Rhinolophus ferrumequinum: one gene and its partner. The protein of the gene in region 2 interacts with the protein of the main gene of each other region in a pairwise test. Links are inferred from orthologs where the notes say so. Each region holds a gene or a part of one and is shown on either strand. Other genes may lie near its edges. The genes, in order: CREBZF and TTC23.

Evidence for each region.
Region 1: the proteins of TTC23 (region 2) and CREBZF interact in binary tests that used the Homo sapiens proteins (3 or more experiments, as listed by UniProt). The two-hybrid records come from large-scale screens. The link is inferred for Rhinolophus ferrumequinum from reciprocal best matches to the Homo sapiens genes TTC23 and CREBZF.

The regions. Positions count from the first base shown.
Region 1 is NC_046294.1:58,630,521-58,640,042, reverse strand, and holds the start of CREBZF (CREB/ATF bZIP transcription factor), read left to right. Parts: upstream 1-4,864; 5' UTR 4,865-5,137; coding exon 5,138-6,201; coding exon of another isoform or gene 6,202-6,205; exon of another isoform or gene 6,206-6,410; coding exon 6,411-6,426; 3' UTR 6,427-6,488; intron 6,489-7,560; 3' UTR 7,561-7,629; exon of another isoform or gene 7,630-8,241; intron 8,242-8,242; 3' UTR 8,243-9,522.
Region 2 is NC_046311.1:11,644,957-11,655,335, forward strand, and holds the start of TTC23 (tetratricopeptide repeat protein 23), read right to left. Parts: upstream 5,564-10,379; 5' UTR 4,395-5,563; intron 1-4,394. UniProt on the Homo sapiens protein: Participates positively in the ciliary Hedgehog (Hh) signaling.

The DNA of each region.
Region 1 (9,522 bases), on a different chromosome or scaffold from region 2:
ATGGGTTCGTGAACTTCATTGTCAGACCCCGTATGTGTTGGTGCTATAGTTGGTGCATAAAGTCATGGTCTTTGTGGAGAATTTGATACATTGGTACTCATCATCTATTTTAATCCCTCTTTTAATGTGCTTTTAATGTGCTTTACTGTATTGCAGAAATGGAAAAGCTAAAACAAAGAAACACAAAGCAAACTATATTTGCAGACTCCTCTGTAGTTATATTTGGAAGATGCAAATGAGGCAGGGAGGGGCCCTTTTTCTTTGCTTTGGCTGTTGTTGCTGCCAAGGACATTTTTGGAGACATTGGGCTTTTCCGCAACAACATCCCAATGTTCATTCACTAGTTTTATGGGATATGATAACCAGCCCCCAGGATAGTGCCTAATGATTCCTTTTTTTTTCTTTTTAAAATTAGTTTCAGGGGTCTAAAACAACATACTGTCATAGTATTCACATTCTTATGTAGTACCCTTCCACAGTGAATAAGATCTGACTCGTGTGAGCAATAGAATACTTACAGAAGTGATCATATGTGACTTCTGAGGCTAGGTCATAAAAGACGTTGCTACTACTTCCTTGGTCTCTTGGATCATTCACTCTGGGGGAAGCCAACCACTACATAGCACAGACACTCATATAGCCAGTGGAGAGGCCCATATGGAGGGGAAACTAGGCTTCCCTGAGGACCAGCCTGTCAGCCACCTTGGAAGTGGACTCTCTAGCCCAAGTCAAGCCCTCAGATGACTGCAGCCCCAGACAATATCTGACTAAATCCCATGAGAATTCTGGAGCCAGACTGCATAGCCAAGGTTTTTACAAATTTCCGTCCACAGAAACTGTGAGCGATAATAAATGTTTATTGTTGTTTTAAGCCACATATAAGCAAATATTTATTGTTGTTCTATGATTGTTTTTAGGTTTGGGGTAACTTGTTAGGCAGCAATAGATAATTAATACATGGGGTTGAGAATTTAGGCGGCAGCAGTACTCTTGAAGCCAACATTCCCACTTTCTACTTCTCACTTTCTCAACTGGGGCAGAGACAACTGTTCCTAAACAGGCCTGTTTGGCCACACTGTACTGAGACGCATTCTTGATCGCCCAGCCTAATGTTCACTCCTCCGGTCCTTCCAATGACTGTGTGAGCCCGCATTCTGTTACATCTCTCTCTGTTTAAAATAGCTGGATTGGTATCTGTTTCCTGCAATTTGAGCTTAATCTAATAAAAATACCCATCTCAAATCAATAGCTAGACATTAGAGGCATTCCTGTAAAAGTAAGGAATAAACAAGGAAGTTGGCTATCAAGAGGATTATTTAACATTAATCTGGAAATGCTATTTCATTATCGTATTGCAAAGGAGGTAACATTTTCATTATATATAATAAGGTGATATAATTGTGTACCTGGAAAATTTGAATGAATAAGCTGAAAATGAAAATTATTAAGAAAGGTCAGTGGGGTAGTCAGTTAAAAATTTAACAAAAAAATCAGTAGTTTTCCTATGTAGCAACAATAACCATTTAGAAAACATAAAAGAAGAAATAATCCAGTCCAATAGCAAAAAATACATACATAACTGGGAAAAATCAATTAATAAATGTAATGTGATTTCCATGAAAATTCCAGGTTGTTTTCTTTGAACTTGGAAAATATTATGACATTATCCAGAAGAAGAAATATTCGTGTATAGATAGACAATTCTGAGATAGTAAGACTAACAAAGGACTTGTCTTATGAGATATTAAATATATTATAAAACTACAATAAAAATGGAGTGATTTTACTTCCAGAATGGTGAGACTGTCAAATGAAATAAAAGAAAAAGACCAGAAATAGATCCAATTACATGTAAGAATTTGATATATGGCACACATGTTGGGAAATAAGTGGGGCAAGTGTGAATTGTTCAATAAATTTTATTGTGGCAGATCACTTTTTGAAAAATTATATTCCTGTTACATTTTGTACCAGAATGAATTCCATTTGAATCTAAATGAAATAAACTATGTCTCGTGTTGTTAAAAAAACTCTTAGTAATATAAACATAAGTAATTAAAGAAGTTCTAAAACACATAGGTAAATATTAGTATTATTTAGGCTAATAAAGCCTTTTTTGGCTTAACATCACAGCTAGAAACCATGAAGAAAATTTTAATAGATTATTTTAAAATGATAGCAAAACAAGCAATTTCACCCCTTCCCTCCCCTGGTATTTGATCACCTGGGGGAAAATTGGAACACATGTAAGAGACAAAGGTATATTTTCTTTATAATGTAAAGAATTCTTATAAATCAAGAAGGAAAAAGACAAACATTTTCCCTGACAAACATTTTCTCCCATCTCTAAGAAAAAATGAGCTAAGGATGTGAAAAGGCTGTTCACATTAGAAATCAATTGGTCATATGAAAAACATTCAACTCTCTAATAATCAGAGAAATGGAAATTCACACAAAAAGATGCCACGTTTTATTTTTGGAGTGGCACATTTTAAAAAGAACACGTCCACTGTCGTTGAGTGTGTAAGAATTAAATACTGTCATACACCATTGGTGAGAAATATCTTTCCATAGGTAATAAAGGTCTATTTATAAAAATTGTATTTATAGAAATTCTACTTCAAAGAGTTTATCCTAAGGGTTATAGGATAAGTGAACCAAGATGATTGTACAACATTATCATGTGGTTTATAACAGTGAAAATTTCAATATAACCTAAGTGCTATCAATGAGGAACTAATTGAATAAAATTTGCCCAGTTCATGAAATGGAATTCTAGACAGTCATAAAAAATAAGCATGTGGAGGGGAAGATCCATCTACATTTTTACACATTTTTGATTTTTTTGCAATGATCCTTATAACTAGAAAAAGAAAAACAAAACAGTTGTGAAGAAGGAGAGAGTGAGAAAAATAAGGAAAAGAAAAGGGAGGAATGATGAAGGGGAGACAATTTTCTGGGAGTTTTACTCTTGTTTCATTTGCTTTTTATCTTCTGAGGCTAGATTGTAAAAACTTCCTTCTCTTGCAGTTTTCCACTTTTCTCTTAGTCCAACTGGAGAGGCTCTCAAGCCATGTATATTTAAACCAAACTGTTGTAATTTGGAAAAAATAAAACAAATCAAACCCTGATTTCGAATTTGCCTAAAGAGAAAATGTAGTTGGATGGGCAGTCCAGAGCATATATCACCTAGAACTGTTCTGTGTTCTACTTTAGCAAAACCTTTTCTAGTAGGAAGGTTAAAAGGACATGGAGGCCCTTTATTTATTCTTCTAGATACCATAGGTCATACTTATTTTGCCCCCTGCAGAATTATTTTCATTAGTTGAATTGTAGCATTATGCTTTCAGCCAAAACTGGGGAACTTCTTCATTCATTTATTCAACAAATATTTATTGAAGCATAAGCTGTGCTTTGTACTGTTCTAATATTTGGGACCAATCAGCATGCAGCTTTCTTTGAACCTGCTTTGTATCTCTCTAAGGAACAGCCATACAAAAGTAGTTATTGTTGAAGCTATAGGCTACTTTATTGAGTATCCTACTGAGAAGTTTCTTTAAGACCTAAGAACTGGAAAGTGGTTAAGGGATTAATATGCTGCTTATGATATGTACTTATGAGCAAACAAAGTTTGTTTCCTTTTTTTATTTGGGCTAACAGGAAGCTTAGTCTATTGTTAGCTCAATTTGAGTAACTGTATAAAATATCATGTTCATGCTATTCCAATACTAACCTTTCTCTTTGGGAACTCCTTATCTTTCTATTTCATCTATATTTTCATTGGCCTTACTTTTTTAAAATTTGAATTGTTTTGTTTCTAATGTATTTGTGAATGGCTTCAAATCTCAAATACCTTGTGAGATTAAGATAAACAACATCATGAGGAAACAGACAAATCTAGAATGTGGTGCATTTTTCAAAACAACCAAACTGGTATCTTCAAAAAGCCAATACTAAGAAAAAGTAGAAAGTGGAAGGGACTAATGTACTTTGAGAAATGGTGTGAAAATCCACAATAACAACAACCAAATGCAGTTAAGTGACCCTTGACTGGACCCTGGCTCAAAATAAAACATTCTCTATAAAAGATTATTCTGAGGAAAGCTGAGGAAATTTGAATAGGGCCTGAGTAATAGATATTAGCAAATAATTGTTCATTTTCGCAAGACCTGATAATAGTAGTATGATTGTGAAAGAGAATGTCTTTATTTTTAGAGATATATACTGAAGTATGTTGGGGTGGTATGTTTTGTCTGCAACTTCGGGATAATTCAGCAAAATTAGTAATTATTTTACATTTATATGCAGGTAAAGCAAATGGCAAAATGTTAATTGTTGAATTGTTGACTCTCAGTATTGGGGTAGTATTGTTAAATTTGAGTGGCTATTGTACTATCCTTTCACATATTCTGTGTATTGGGAAGTTTTTATAAGAAAATCTTGGAAAAATTAAATTATATATGAATGATTTACTTATTTACCTCTATTTCTTCTAGTACTCTAGAAGTACTGAAATGAAAAGATTTTGTATTATGACGGGAAGGGAAAGGAGCAATTTCAAGAGGGAGCTCTGATCACCAGTCTTAAATTCCAGAGGAATCCAGGATGATGAAGATTATTCACAAATTTGGTATCTAAAAGATCAATTCTGAGCGAGAGCGGTTTCACTGGAAGTGGAAGCCAGAATAGAGTTGAGAAGTGAGGGCAAAGAGGGCAGACCACTTTTTTAAGAAACCCGTGGTTTTGTTGTTATTTTTGCCGCTGTTACTATGACATCACTGGAGAGCTGGAATTACTCCCACTCCAGCATTCCCTGAACTCTCGCGATACTAGAGCCTGGTGGAGCGCGAAAGGCCGTGGGAGGGGCTGGGGCGAGACCGACCGACTTCCGGCCAGGCCGTTGTCTGGGTGGCGCGGTCGAGTCATCGCCGGGCCTCGCGGCCTCGATCTCCCATCCTTCCCCCGCGCCTGTGCGCGGGGGGTCGACCAGCCGAGAGGGGCAGGAGGCAACCCGGACCTTCCTCGTCATTTCGTTCTGGCCGGCTCACGGGCTACCCGCGCTGGGTCCTGGGGTCCTTGGGGCCCGCGAGGCCCGGTCTAAGAGGCCGGGGCCTACGTGGGCCCGCCGCTGGGCCCCATGAGGCACAGCCTGACCAAACTGCTGGCGGCCTCGGGCAGCGACTCCCCAACACGGAGCGAGAGCCCGGCGCAAGCCGCCACCTGCTCGCTGCCCCCGGACTTGTCCCGGGCGGCAGCGACGGCAGAGGAGGAAGAGACGGCGGTAGCCAGATCTCCCGGCCGTGAGCAGCTGCGCGGCGACGAGGGCGAGTTGGAGGACGGTAGGGGGGGCCGCGGCGGCGTGGTCGTGCGCGCGCCCTCGCCGGAGGAGATGGAGGAGGAGGCGATCGCCAGCGTCCCCGGGGAAGAGACGGAGGACATGGACTTTCTGTCCGGGCTGGAACTGGCGGATCTGCTGGACCCCCGGCAACCGGACTGGCACCTGGAACCCGGGCTCAGCTCGCCCGGGCCTCTCTCCTCGTCCGGCGGAGGTTCGGATAGCGGCGGCCTTTGGAGAGGGGACGACGACGACGAGTCCGCGGCTGCGGAGATGCAGCGCTTTTCTGACCTGCTGCAGAGGCTATTAAACGGTATCGGAGGCTGCAGCAGCGGCAGTGACAGTGGTAGCGGCGAAAAGAGGCGGAGGAAGTCCCCAGGAGGAGGCGGCGGCAGCAGCGGCAACGACAACAACCAGGCGGCGACAAAGAGTCCCCGGAAGGCGGCGGCGGCCGCTGCGCGTCTTAATCGGCTGAAGAAGAAGGAGTACGTGATGGGGCTGGAGAGTCGCGTCCGGGGCCTGGCAGCCGAGAACCAGGAGCTGCGGGCCGAGAATCGGGAGCTGGGCAAGCGCGTGCAAGCACTGCAGGAGGAGAGTCGCTACCTACGCGCCGTCTTAGCCAACGAGACCGGACTGGCTCGCTTGCTGAGCCGGCTGAGCGGCGTGGGACTGCGGCTGACCACCTCGCTCTTCAGAGACTCGCCCGCCGGGGACCACGACTACGCTCTGCCGGTGGGAAAGCAGCAGCAGGACCTGCTGGAAGAGGACGACGCGGCGGGAGGAGTGTGTCTTCATGTGGACAAGGATAAGGTGTCGGTGGAGTTCTGCTCGGCGTGCGCCCGGAAGGCGTCGTCTTCTCTTAAAATGTAGGGTCAAGTAATCTGCTCTTTATCCGCGTTTACCCCTTTCAACTCCCTTACACCATGTAAAACACCTTAGTGGGACATCTTCACTGGACACATTTCAGAGGAGGAAAAAAGTAATATTGAATCTTTAAGTGTTTAGCTAAAAGCATGAATGTGACACTGTAACCAACTCCTAATGATAACATGTGACTATTAAATCTCTCTGACAGTTTCTTTTTTAGGTGATTTCCTTCCTGCCAGGCTCCGTTGTAGGGGTTACAGAACAGTCGTTCCCGCCTCACAACCTGGTAAGGATCCATCTCTTCACGTAACGCTCATGCTCTGCTGCTTAGTCTACTTTAATGGGCAACATCTCAATTTGTGTGTGTGTGGAGATATTTTTTTGTTTTCTTTTTTGGAAGGCGGGAGGGGAATCTGATTTGGGCCCTGTCCACCCTGGAAACAGACTTGTGCTGGTCAAATAATGTATTTAAGATGCTTCTTCTGGTTGAAATAGCTGTTAATGTGTCCCCTTGTTCAGACTTGCGTGTACCTAGCTCTTCTGTCCCCAGTGTGGACATGGCCTTGGATGACATCGATTCCAACTGTACACTGAAAGCTGCTAATAGAAATACAGTTTGGAGACAGTGAAACAGGTGAAGTTGAATGGAAGTTCCGAGTTGTACCAGGTGCAAATTGGAATTCCAATTTTAGAGCAACTTTTCAGAGGTTGACAATAAGTGTTTGGGGCATGCACCAATGTGATAGTTATTTTGCTGGAGATGACAGAAATCTCCTAAATATTCAAGAATGCCTTTTAGTTTTCAGTAGATCTAGAAATACAATATTCAGATTAACAGATATCTCATCATTAGAAAAAATTTGGAAATTAACATGCATATCAGACTCCTGTATTAGTTAATAGGAGGAGGAATCAGAATGGTTAATGAAATGTTTCTTTGAGAACCAGCACAGTGATTACCCTATCACTGAGTATGAATAAATTGTTGAACACCTTTATTTTTGTTGTATTAAAATTTTAGGTTAACTTTATGTAAGATTTTGAAGGTTGTGAAATATGAATGAAAACATGTAAAGTGAGGCTTCACAAAGAATCTTATTTCAAATATATTTGTCCTATTTAAAATTATTTAAAAATAATTTTACAAATTGAGTTGTTCTGGCTACTAATGACACGATTGACACTTTTCCCAAAGATGGGACATATTCTTTTGCAGTATTCTGTTATCTATTGTCCAGTTGTATAAATAGAGTTACGGTGTCCTTCAGTGTAAGAGACAATAAGAAATTCTTTGTGAAACATCACTGTTTGATAAAGTATATACGTATTTAGCATCCTTGTTTTTCTTTGTGCTAAAGTGGATACAGCTGTTGGGGCAGAAGAGACGGGACCAGCTGCTGGCCACATTTCCTGCTTTATTTTAAAAGGTAGTATAAGAAATGAGGAAAAAGAGGTAATATCAGGGCTTCTGCTGTCTTTTATTTTAAAATGTTCATAATTAAAAAGTATTTTCCAGCAGTCCAAAGATGTAAGTTATCTTACACATAAAATGTTTTATTTTGTTGTTATTTGGTTATGAAAATGGAATCCTTGTTCTTGCACAACTGTAAATGTTTTGTTGCTAGATAATACGATTTGAGATCTAACTTGGTCTCTGGTTTCCAGTGCATCACAGCATATTTTGTAAAATCTTCTATTGCACTTGAGCATGAATGGGTAGTAGCCAAACTCACAACCTGGAGTGATGAACCTGCTTATACCTAAGTGCAGGAGCAAGCCCCTCACAATGCAGCTGCATGGAGTTTTAGTGCCTACTGAATTATATATATAAACCAAAAGTAGTTGGAAAAATTATTTGAAATGACTAATTTGTGCTATCTTTATGGAATATGTTAAATGTAGCTTTTTGAAACAGAAGCCTTGAATTGAAATTTAATTAATACTTGAACATTTTGTATATATTTCTTTGTATATAATTTTGTGCAGTACCAATGACAAAAATACGGTGTCATAATAAAACCAGGTTTGTTGATCTTTCAGTTATGGGCTCAAAGAATTTATTCATCTCTATCATGACATTGGAAAATAATGGATGAAAATAGGAAAAATAATTGTTGTTAATGCTGACTGTGGGTCTTAAAAGGTTCTGGAAGCAGTAAGTGCGTTTTTCTAAAAATTATACTGTTCCTTGGCATATTTTCTTCCTAATGGCAATGCTTTTCCTGCATTATTTGAAGTTTGGGGCTGGGGAGAAACAGTAGTCAAAGCTTTCTGAATTGGGCTGCTTTGAAATTCCAAGTGTAGATTTTTAGAATGTCATTTTATAAATGGCAGTTTTTGGAAATACTTGATTAAGAACTTTTGAAAATGGAGATTAGTATCACCTATTTTAAAGCTGCTTTGTTAGGTTCCTTATGTTTTAACTGTCTCTTCTTAGTTTCCATTTCATTTTCTTTTTTTTTCCTAATTTTGGTGACTCAGTGATTTTGTCATTTTTTTACATCAACTTCATGGTCTTGTTTTTACATGGTATTGCATGTATTTAGGACCTATCTAACAGGGGCTTTAAATAAATTTGGTCACATTTATGTGTAAGCACATTTTACTGTAAATGTTTGAGTTTCTGAATTTACAATAGATCTGTTTATTTCAGTATGTAGTAGAATATCTTAAAAGTGTCCTATTCACTACTTGTTAATTAAAAAAGTTATGATTAATATGAAACTGTTGTCTTACTATTTTTAAAAAATTGTGTTCTGGTGGATAGTTGCATAAAGGAGATTTCTGGAATATAATATGGAGTGTTTTGAAATTTACGGTTTGGCTTTATTTACTGTAATGGAAAAAAACAATTTAGTATTTGGGGAACCTTTTTTTCCCCTAATTTAGCCACTATGGCAAAATGTTACAGAACTAAAGATTATAGCTTTTTAATGTCTTCTGATGGTGACAGCAATTCATACATTAATTGAACTAACACATCATATTGACCTACTATTTCTATCATATTGACTTAACTGTTTCTGCACTTCCTTGACCAGACTTAACGAAAATGTCCACGTTTGTTAAAATATAGTCACACATTTGTCCTATAAGCCGACAAAAAGTGTTCAAAATATTTTAAATATTTGTGCATTTTATAATCACTAAATTAATCTCTCTCTCTTCTCTTTAAACAGCTTAGCAGTGTCTGCAAAAACGAATCTTTTCCTACAACCTGTTAACTGACTGGACTGATGGTAACAAAGTAATTGTGGGAGCCATGTCGGTCAAAAATTTGGCATCTGCTGAAAAAAATGAATGCCATTTTCAAGTTCCCA
Region 2 (10,379 bases):
ATGGAGAATATGCTAAGTGGGATTAATGACAGATTAGATATTACCGATGATGAAAAGACTGAATTTGTAGACATAGCAATAGAGACCATCAAAAACAAAACAAAACAAAAAACAATCAGTGAGCTGTGAAACAACTTCAAGTTGCCTACTATATATACACAATTGGAGTTTCTAAAGGAAAGCAGATTGTAGTAGGGACAGAAAAGAGATTTGAAGAAATAATGGCCAAAAGTTTCTGGGCCTCTGAACCTAGCGTTAAACGTAACCAAACCAAAAAATTAACTAAACCAATGTAAAACTATATAGTCATGGTTACTTGACAATATAGTCAAGTAACTTAAAAACTGGTTTGTTATTTCTTTTCTTTAGTTTTTTCGCTTAATTGTAAACAGTGGTTCATCTCATGCTTCCTCATAATATTGAATCCTTAAAACAGAGGTTATAATCTGAGCGCTCACAGTTGAGATCTAACTACTCCCCATGCGCGCTTTTTCTTTCTTTCTTTCTTTTTTTTTTTTTTTGGTGAGACAGTTGGAAAAAAAAATGAGCCATTATTTTAAAATTAGAAGTTTTACACAAAGATCTAGATTCCTGAATTTCTGGCTTCCTTTGAAAAAGCAACACCTGTCAATACTGGGCCTAGGTCGCCACAGGCAACAAACAACCCGCCCCAGGGGAGCCGCAGCTGGCCTTGGAGGCAGTGCACTCTCCAGTTTGCCAGCTGTCACCACTCCCTGGACACAGAGGCAGCAAAGGGACAGTCGCCATTGCTCCTGTGTTGTCACTTTCCGTCTTGTGAAAGAATCGGTCTCTCCATGTCCGTACCTCTTTCAAAGTGAAAGCCTGACCTGAAGGAATGTGAACTTCACCTGAACTAAAACATCACTGATGATAAGACACACCAGTATTTTATAACCACTAAGAAGGAAACAACACTGCTATTAACCTGTGACTTGCCTTCACCTGGAACACGCCTTCCGACGTCAGTGATGTTTAAGTGCCAAAGCAAAGGTGCCTTTTCGAATCGATGAAATGAAGCCTGTTACCTGCCTGGCTCCTGGAAGCATGTGAATCAGTGACCTTGCTTTATACATGTGTGTGTTTCACGTGTGGGGCATCCCACAGCAAGACCTTCAGCACTAAGACACGCTCTTCGGTTCACTTACTTGGAGCGACACGCTTATCATCAGCCACTTTTCTTCTCTTTGTAATAGCCATCGCTGGAGTTTAAATTTTCATTAGAAATCAGCCCAGGCCCCACACACCAGCCTGGCTCCCTGCCAGGCTTGGGTTCAGCTTCCCGGGCCTCTCAATCAGTCCCCACAACTGCCAGTCAGACAAACTCAATCAATTGATGCGATCCCTTCTGCTAGACCTGCCCAGTAGAAGGCTGAAGCACATGATTAGGCCCAGATCAAAGGGGAAGGAAGAAGAGGTCTGAAGTGGGGCGTCAGTCTTCTATTTCCAAGGGCATTTGGAGACGACAAATCAAAACTACAATGAGAACCACCCCACACCCACCGGCGTGACTATAATTAAAAAGACAGACATTAGGAAGTGTTGGTGAGGATGTGGAGAAATTGGAACGCTCACACCACACTGGTGGAATGTGAAATTGTGCATTCAGTTTAGAAGGCAGTTGGGTAATTCCTCCAATAGGTAAATGTAGAGTTACCATATGACTCAGCTATTCCACTCCTAGGTATATACATGTTCACACAAACACTTGTATACATCTTCATAGCAGCAACACTTACAATAGCTAACTGAAAGCAATCCAAATGTGCGTTAACTGATGAATGGATAAAAAAAATCTGGTAGTGTCCATACAACGGAAAATTACTTAGCAATAAGAGGAATAAAGTACAGATACATACTACAACGTGGATAACCTTCAAAAACACTACGCTACTAAGTGAAACAGGCCAGAAACAAAATACCACATAGTGTACGATGGGGGTGGAGAGTGGGAATGTCTGATCCACAGAGACTCTCAGAGAACTAGGGTGACCAAGGTTGAACTATACATCAGTCTGAGTCCTGTAGACTAACAGAGAATGGAAAACTGTAGACGGGCTTTTCACTACCATTGGCCAGAATTGACACGTCAGTCACTCTGCTGACATTTCATTTGCTCCCCTAACTGCAAAGGGGGCTAGGTACCCAGGAGAGTAAGTGGAATATTTAGTGAGCATTGCACTCTGCCCCATTGGTCATCAGGGGGCCTTGTCTCAGAGTTATTTTCCATATTCTCCATCTACCTTCTTAAGGACCAAGCATCAACAATTTAGGCTAAATGGGCCTCGGATTCTTTGAAGCAAGTTTTGAAGCTGGAGACAAACCAGCTTGGTATCCCTTAGGCACCTTGCTTTTTGGGGGAAGAGATGGTCCGTGATTCACTTTTGTTTGCCCAACACTGAGGGTAGTATCTGGTACTTGGTAGCAGCTCATCAAGTGTATGGAATTGAGCTGTTTCAGAGAACGGGTTAGGTGAAAGCCAACGGTCTGACTAAGAATACCTCCTATCCACTCATGGTATCCTTCCGTTATAAGGGTTTTGTTGTTGTTGTTTGTTGAAATTCTTCAATTTAATTAAATAGCACCAAGAGATACACTTAAATCCTGAAGGAAAAGAAGCAAGAACTGATACAATGGGAACAATAATCACTTTTACTGTTTTGATTGAATCACAACTGCTGTCACATCTAATATGGTTTGTATTTGTACTAAGTGCTAAACAACAAATGAGCTCTATGCTTTAGAAAGAAATGTGTAAGAGTTATGTTATTCAACCAAGTGAATTTTATAAAAGGCATTTGGATAAAATGTCTTAAAAGGCTGCTATTAATCCTTACTTCATTATTCATAGCATTTAACGTCTTCCCTTCCAGTCTCTGCTCTGGGAGCTATCTTAAATTGCGATGTCAGTTTTATCTTTTTCAAATATTACTTTCATAAGGTCTCCGTCCTGTTCAAATCCTAGGGCCAAACTCCTTAACTCTGGCAATTTTGACTCTTCATGCAACTTCTCGTGCTTTTTTTTTTTTTTAAAACCAAGTCCCCCAAATGAACCTTCTGCTGCAGCCAGAGCCAGTTATTCTCTAGGCTGCATATTACTTATTGCAATTTCATTACCTAGGATGCCACTTCCTTTCTTTTCTATCGACTGAAACTTTGCACATTGCTCAGGCCCACAATTGCTCAGGCCCCAATCCTACTGTGAAGCGTTCCCTGAATATTTCAACTCATACTGATCTAAGTACCTGAAGTACTTACGATCTATAATAGTCATCTATGCATAAAGAACTGTCTGGATGTTTTAAATGTTTTGAGTCTCATTCCCCTAACTAGAGTATGAGCTTCTTGAGAGACTGTATTTTATTATTTTATATCCCCCTATATGGATTAACAGAGGCACCTAAAGAAATATTTATTGCATACCTACTATGAGTTAGCCTTGTAGAGGTTTAGATATGCTACTAGGTATTATATTTACTAATTAAATCTTTACAATGCCATATTTTGGAATTATATATTGGGCAAGATCCTAATATTATGTTGCTATTTCAAATATAAGTTTTAATATATGTTATTCTCATTTATCAATATTTTCCTGAACTTTTATTAATAGAGCTTAGTTTTAATGAACATATCATTTTTGAAAATACTATATAAGTGGTGAATTTCATTTTTTGATAACTGATTATTATATTAATTACCTACTGATTCTGATTCATATACTAATATCGTTTTGCTTGGCCATTAGCAGATTGTCCCTGGCTCTCGTAATCTACAAATATACACAGAATTTGAAACAAAAGACGATTCTAATTTTCTCCTATATCTTTTAACAGATGGATTGTCTATTATGCTAGGTATGATAGTATACAAAAATATCCTTTTTATCCCTTTTAGAAGGTAAAAGGGATCAACTATATGGTGATGGAAGGAGCACTGACTCTGGGTGGTGAACGCACAATGTGATACATAGATGATGTGATACAGAATTGTGCACTTGAAACCTATGTAACTTTACTAACAATTGTCACCCCAGTAAACTTTAATTTAAAAAAATATCCTTTTTACTTGGTAATTACAATAACATTAAGTGTCCCTCTAAATCCATTTTAAAGCAACAACAACAACAACAACAAAACCACAGCTTCTTAGAGTATAAAATAATCTATAATTAATCTTATTACTTTGTTCCCTTTATCACTCAAAAATCCACAGCTAACCTGGGAATAAGGTTCTTCCAACCCCAGCCTAAAGAGGAAAACACCCTCTGAAAACCACTTTCTGCCCCTCTCAGATTTTGCTCCTAGTTTATCTGGTTTTCCCTGACACTTCCTCCTTCAAAACGAATGAAAAATCAGGAAAGTTGCAATGCTTACATCTCTGTGTCGTAAAATCCTTTGTCCATTTACCTTGTATGCTTGAGACGTTCTCCGTTTCTTTTTCCAATGAATTTACAGAGCTGTCTCGACAGCCTGATTTGCCAGACTGGGTCCCGCTGATCAGTGTGGCGATTCCTTATACAGATTGATAACCACGAAAAAGTCTAAAGTAGGGTAGTTCCAGACTAAAGAAGAGCAGCCTTTTCCCGTAAAGTAAGCTGGTACCTCACAAAACTCCAGGCAGAAGAATGAATGACAGAGCAAGCACCAATAGGGAGTGGAGAAGAGTATTTTGTCGAAGTTTATAACCCAATCCTTGGGAGCCAGAGGTGGGAATTTTAAAATGGGGTTGACTTTTTCTTGGTTTTTCTTAAAGTGGCATTGCTGCCTGTTGATGTTCAAGTTTGTTAAATTATGCCAAATCACTAGTTTAGAGTATTTCTTCGCCCTTGATTTGGGTGAGGCAAAATGTGAAAATTGACCCTCGACAAATTTAGAGAACTTTAAAGTTAGACATAGGATATTATACTATAACCATAGAATCACTTGGCTACTACTTTTGTCAATTTTTTTTTTGGAGGGGGCGGTGTAGAAGTTATTTTAAGATGATTCATTTTACGTGATCAACTATTGGATGTTAAATTAATGCGTTAAAATATTTCCCTTTTTAGAGAAATGAAAATAAGAGGCTAACATTGATTACTTTCTAAGAAATGGTTCTATCTATTGTTAATCTTTTTTTTTGAGCGCGTGTAACTTCAGTATTAGGAGGAAGTCTTCTTATTTGGGTTGATCTTTAATACCCTAAAGGTTTTTGTTTTTACACAAACTGTAGGTTTCCTTGTTTGAAGTCTAGCAAAAAATTCCTAAGTACTACAAATTCTTAGGTATTTAGAAACCTATATAAAGGATCTTAGAAATACATGCCATATACTTCATTAACTTCAGAAGACCAGATTTAATATATAGATAATTGACATTTCATTATAGCTCATGTCTTGCTTTGGAATAGGTTTTATTGTTATTTAACATAACTCTGCTTTCTAGGTTATTCATCTCGAAGAGTAATGAACTAAACCAACTATATAAAACTACACAGTCAAGGTTACTTGACAATGAAGCACTGGTAAATTAGTCATTATCAAGCTTTTCAAAGAACAATGAATAACAGCAGTTTCATGAGAGGAAAAAAAATGGAAAAACCTCATTGCAGAACGCAAGTTGCCATATTAAAAAAACAAGGCATTTTAAAAAATAAGTTTTTGGGTTTTTTTTAACGTTCCCTGACAATGCTTGATTTTTTTTATTTTTATTTTTATTTTTATTTTTTTTTTACCCAGCATAAAGCTCTCGTCCTTTTATGCCTCTTTCCCCTGACATAGAAATTTCCGTCTTGAAAAATATATGCATTCACGGCCTACCCAGCCATGCTAGGAACCGCCCCAATATTTAACTTACTAAGTGGTTACCATCCTTTTCAGCGATCTTTTCTAACAAAAGGTAGAATTTCAAGAGCAGAGACTAGGTTCCCGCCTCCTCTTTGGAACGAACCTATCAACGCGCAGTGAGCCCTTAAACCTGTGCTGGGGTTCACTACCTGCCCACTATTGGCCCCTTTACATAAACCCACGGGGCCTCAGTTTTTCACCGGTCAAACTTAGTATAAGAATAGTACTTGTATCAAGGGATTGCTGTGAGGGATAAGTTAGGTAAACTGTGCACAGCTCTTAGAACGCTGCCTGGTACACAATAAGCGCTCAGGTGTGACTGCGGTCGTGCCTCAAGGTACCCATTGAATGACAGCACGGACGTCTGAATGAATGTGTGAATGGAAGAAGAGATTGGTTACTAACGGTTCCTGAGGTGCGAGCCGGCTCAATTACCCCTTCAAAATGCAAAACAGCAAAAAACCACTGTCTTGACAGCAAGATACCAGCGGGAGCCGGAAGCGAGCGTCGAGAGGTGGGAGGGGCCAGCCTGCAGGAAGCAGCGCTCTCGGCCAATGGCCACATCTCTCGGAAAACGAGCCTCTCGTCCGACCTATCGTGAAACCGCGAGAACAGGTTGGAAATATCGCGATGTTCCGTTCTTCTCTCCACTGCTCTCTCTGGCCCAGCTCTCTGTTGACAGGGTTCCCTCCCCCGCCCCGCCCCTCACCGCCCAAGCCTCGCCCCGCCCCCCGCCCGGCGCCCCGCCCCTTCCCTCCCGGCGTCTCCCGGCTTGCGGTCCAGCGCAGCCTGCGCCCCGGAGCGCTGGCTCCGCCGGCGCCGAGGTGAGTGCGACCGTCCAGGTCCGTGGGTGGCTCACGTTGGCGAGGGTCCCTGTCCCGGCCCCCTACCTCCAGGTGGGGTCCGGCAAAAGCGTCCGGGCCGCGGTGGGTAGACCCAGATGCGAGTGGGCCCTGCCGGGCCTCGGGTCCCCACCGTCGCCGGGCCCTCCTGGCCCTGAGAATCGGATACTGGCTCTTGAAATCCCTGCCACTGGGCTCGCTGCTTCCAAACTGTGACGACCTTAGTGTTTGATTAACTCGGGCAAAGACGGCATGTGTTTTGCTTAAGACTTCTGCAAGCAAGGGCTTCTTAGAAGTAAGAAAATAACCTTTTACAAATGCTTTTAATGAAGTTTTTAATCCTCTAATGTCCAGTATTAGGAAATCGGAGTGGGTATTTCTGAATTAAGTACTGAAGTCACTCGAAGGGACTCCTTTCCTAAGACGCTCGTGCCTAAAATGTGTGAAATATGAAGATAGACGGTTTTGTTTCTTTTTTAAAATAATAAAGTGGATTGGTGTTTACCTGTCAGAAAACTCATGTGGAGGTGCAATGGTCTACAGTTAATGTTAAGTATGTCATTTACTTTTAACTGTAGGTAAGAGGTAGTGAAGGAAATCTGTGTAAGAAAAGTATCCTGGTAAAGGATGTATATTGCCCGTGAACGCATATTGGAGACCATTAGCGTTATTTATGATTGATTGGTGGCTTTCAGGTTTCACCTGTGTAGATTTTACCGTTTAAACTGCCTTTGTACTAAGATGCATTTAACAGGGCGTAATGACGTTTTTAAGGCAGACAGAGGGTTCAGAAGGAAAGCCATCAGACTAGAGTGAATTCTCTTCTTTGATCTTGCATCAGTGAGTGTGGGTTTTATATATAGTTTTGCTTTGGAGTCTTACATTTATATAAGCCTTGGCGACCACTTAAACGACCCCATCAAAGTGTGTGCCTGAACTGCTGCATTGTAGGGCAATGCACAGGTTTTGGAGTGGATGCACCTGGTCTGCAATTCTGGCAAGTAACTGTATGAGAAACACAGTTTCCTCATACATTAAATGGGCTAAATAATGTCTATTGCATTGCAGAATTGTGAGCATTAGGGATTTTTTTTTTTAAAGATTTTATTGGGGAAGGGGAATAGGACTTTATTGGGGAACAGTGTGTACTTCCAGGCCTTTTTTCCAAGTCAAGTTGTTGTCCTTTCAGTCTTCGTTGTGGAGGGCGCAGCTCAGCTCCAGGGGGCACAGCCCACCATCCCTTGAGTCCAACCGGCAACCTTGTGGTTGAGAGGACGCTCTCCAACCAAATGAGCCATCTGGGAGCTCAGCTGCAGCTCAGCTCAAGGTGCCGTGTTCAATTAGTTGTAGGGGGCGGAGCCCACCATCCCTTGCAGGAGTTGAACCGGCAACCTTGTGGTTGAGAGCCCACTGGCCCACGTGGGAATCCAACCGGCAGCCTTCGGAGTTAGGAGCATGGAGCTCCAACCGCCTGGGCCACCGGAGCGGGCCCCAGCATTAGGGGATCTTTATGGCACATAGTAAGCACTGAGTATATAGTACCTACAAGCTGACCTTAGCTCAGAGAATGAAAAAAACTACCGTGCAGTACAGCAGGTCCTTGAATAACATTGTTTGTTCAGTGTCATTTTGTTATAATGTTGATGAGATAACATAGAACTTGACTCTTGTTTATGTCAGTTAGCCTACCAGAAAGTTGGTGTCTACATTGTTTCACTTTAAGTTGCACACCCTATGCAAGGTATTAGGTGAGGACTTACTGTGTTACTCAGTATCCTCTTTTCATCAGCTGTTTGAAGGCCTGCTTTATGCCAGAGGCAGGTATATAAGAGTGAAGAAAACCCCAAAATCTCTGCCCTCAGGAGCTTATCGTCTCTTGGCTAGATTGACAATAAGAAAATGCACCAGTAAATATGTAGATTACAAATTGTGAAGAGTCCTACAAAGAAAAAAAAATCGGGTTTCTCTGCAATAATAACTGGGGGATACTTTAGTTTGAGATAGGGGCGTGATTTTTACATTGAAACCTGAAGGATGATGGAACGTTGGGTGCTTTCTTGGCTAAGAGGAGGGCAGCAAGTGCTGTGAAGAGTTTGACACTTTCTGGAACTGGAAAAGCCCAGGAGCTTGGTGAGAAGCCAGATAAACCCGGAGAAGTGTATGGGGCCAGATAATGAATAGCCCTGAAGTCCTGGTAAGAGGTTGATTTTCTAAAAAATCTTTTGAAGGGCTTATTTAGTAGAATGTACGAGCACTAGAAAGCCAGTTTACCTTACAGAAAGGGAAATATAATTGGATTTACATTTTAAAAGGCTCACTGCTAAGTAATTAAAGGACCAGAAAGTGGCTAGAGTAGACACGGAGACCTGTGTTAATCCAGATAGCCAGGTAGGAGATGCCTAGCTTTTGGTTTAGGCTGATGGAAAACTGTGGATAGATTTGAGGTATATTTTGGAGATGGAAACCACTGGCCTTGTGATGAATTGGAGGTGGCAGGTGAATGACCAGATGGAATCATTCATGACTTCTAGCCTTCCAGCTTGAGCAGCTGGGTGGGGAGGTGGGTGGCGTGCCACTTTCTGAAATGGGAAAAACTGGGGAGGATTTGAAGGCGGGGAGAAGGTCTCTTTTAAATGTGTTAGGTTGGAGGTTCTTGCTTTGCAGCTGAGAGAATTAAGATGTAAAAAGATTTGAGTTTCTTGCTCCAAGTCATGTAAAGGCTCATAAAAATAGATGAGCAGGTGGACTAAATATGGGAAAATATTGGATTCTCATGTTGTATTGGGATGTTATTGAATATTCCATATTCTCCGCCCTTTTGTATACAGTGGTAATTGCTCTCTTATTAGCTAGGATTTAGAATTCAGAAATAATAGCAAATAACCAAAAACTCTGCTTATTGAAAGTCATGGTACTACATTTTGCACTAACTTGGTGCTAATTCCAAGTGGAAATAGTTTTTCTTAAGAAAAACAAACTCTTTGAAAGTTCCTTCCATGAGAAAGTTTAGAAAAGGGTGCCCATGAAAACAGAGAGTAAGTAGGCTCTTTGAACCAAGCTCAACTTCTTTTTAGTGTTAGTATTTTCTTAGTATCCTGTGTACCTGTGTATGTAAAGAACCCAGCCTTTGAAATACACTGGACACCCCACCATCCAAGAAAAAAAAATTCTTGCTTTCATTATCCCTTATGAGCTGTTTGGCTTTGAACTAATTATTGAAGCTCTGAGTTTGTTTCTTCTAGTGTTCATTGATTGTGAAGTTTGTTTCTGTTCTGTGCGTAGTTGATTAGATGGCAAATGTTATTTCTCTTCCTGTCCTTGTCAGATTTGGAGGTAGAAGGGAATTTAATCTGTTCTGGGTTTTGGCTTTTACCAATAAATTTCTGTCTCCATTTTATATATTAGGCAACTGAGGCACCGAGAGATTGAATACAGAGTTCTTATTTCTTAGTGCAGTGTTTTTTCTTTCATTGAAATAATAAAGTAAAACTGTTTCTCAGACCTATTTCTTTGTTACTTTTGATAATGTGCAAAGATAAGAAGAAAGTAAGAAAAGAAAAAAGAGATTAAAGAAAGAAAAAATTAGTATATAGGACAATATTTCGATAGTGAGAAGTGAAAAAATGACATAAATGATGTAGATATGTTTTATATACATATTTAAATATTTTTAAAATACCTTAAGCAACAAA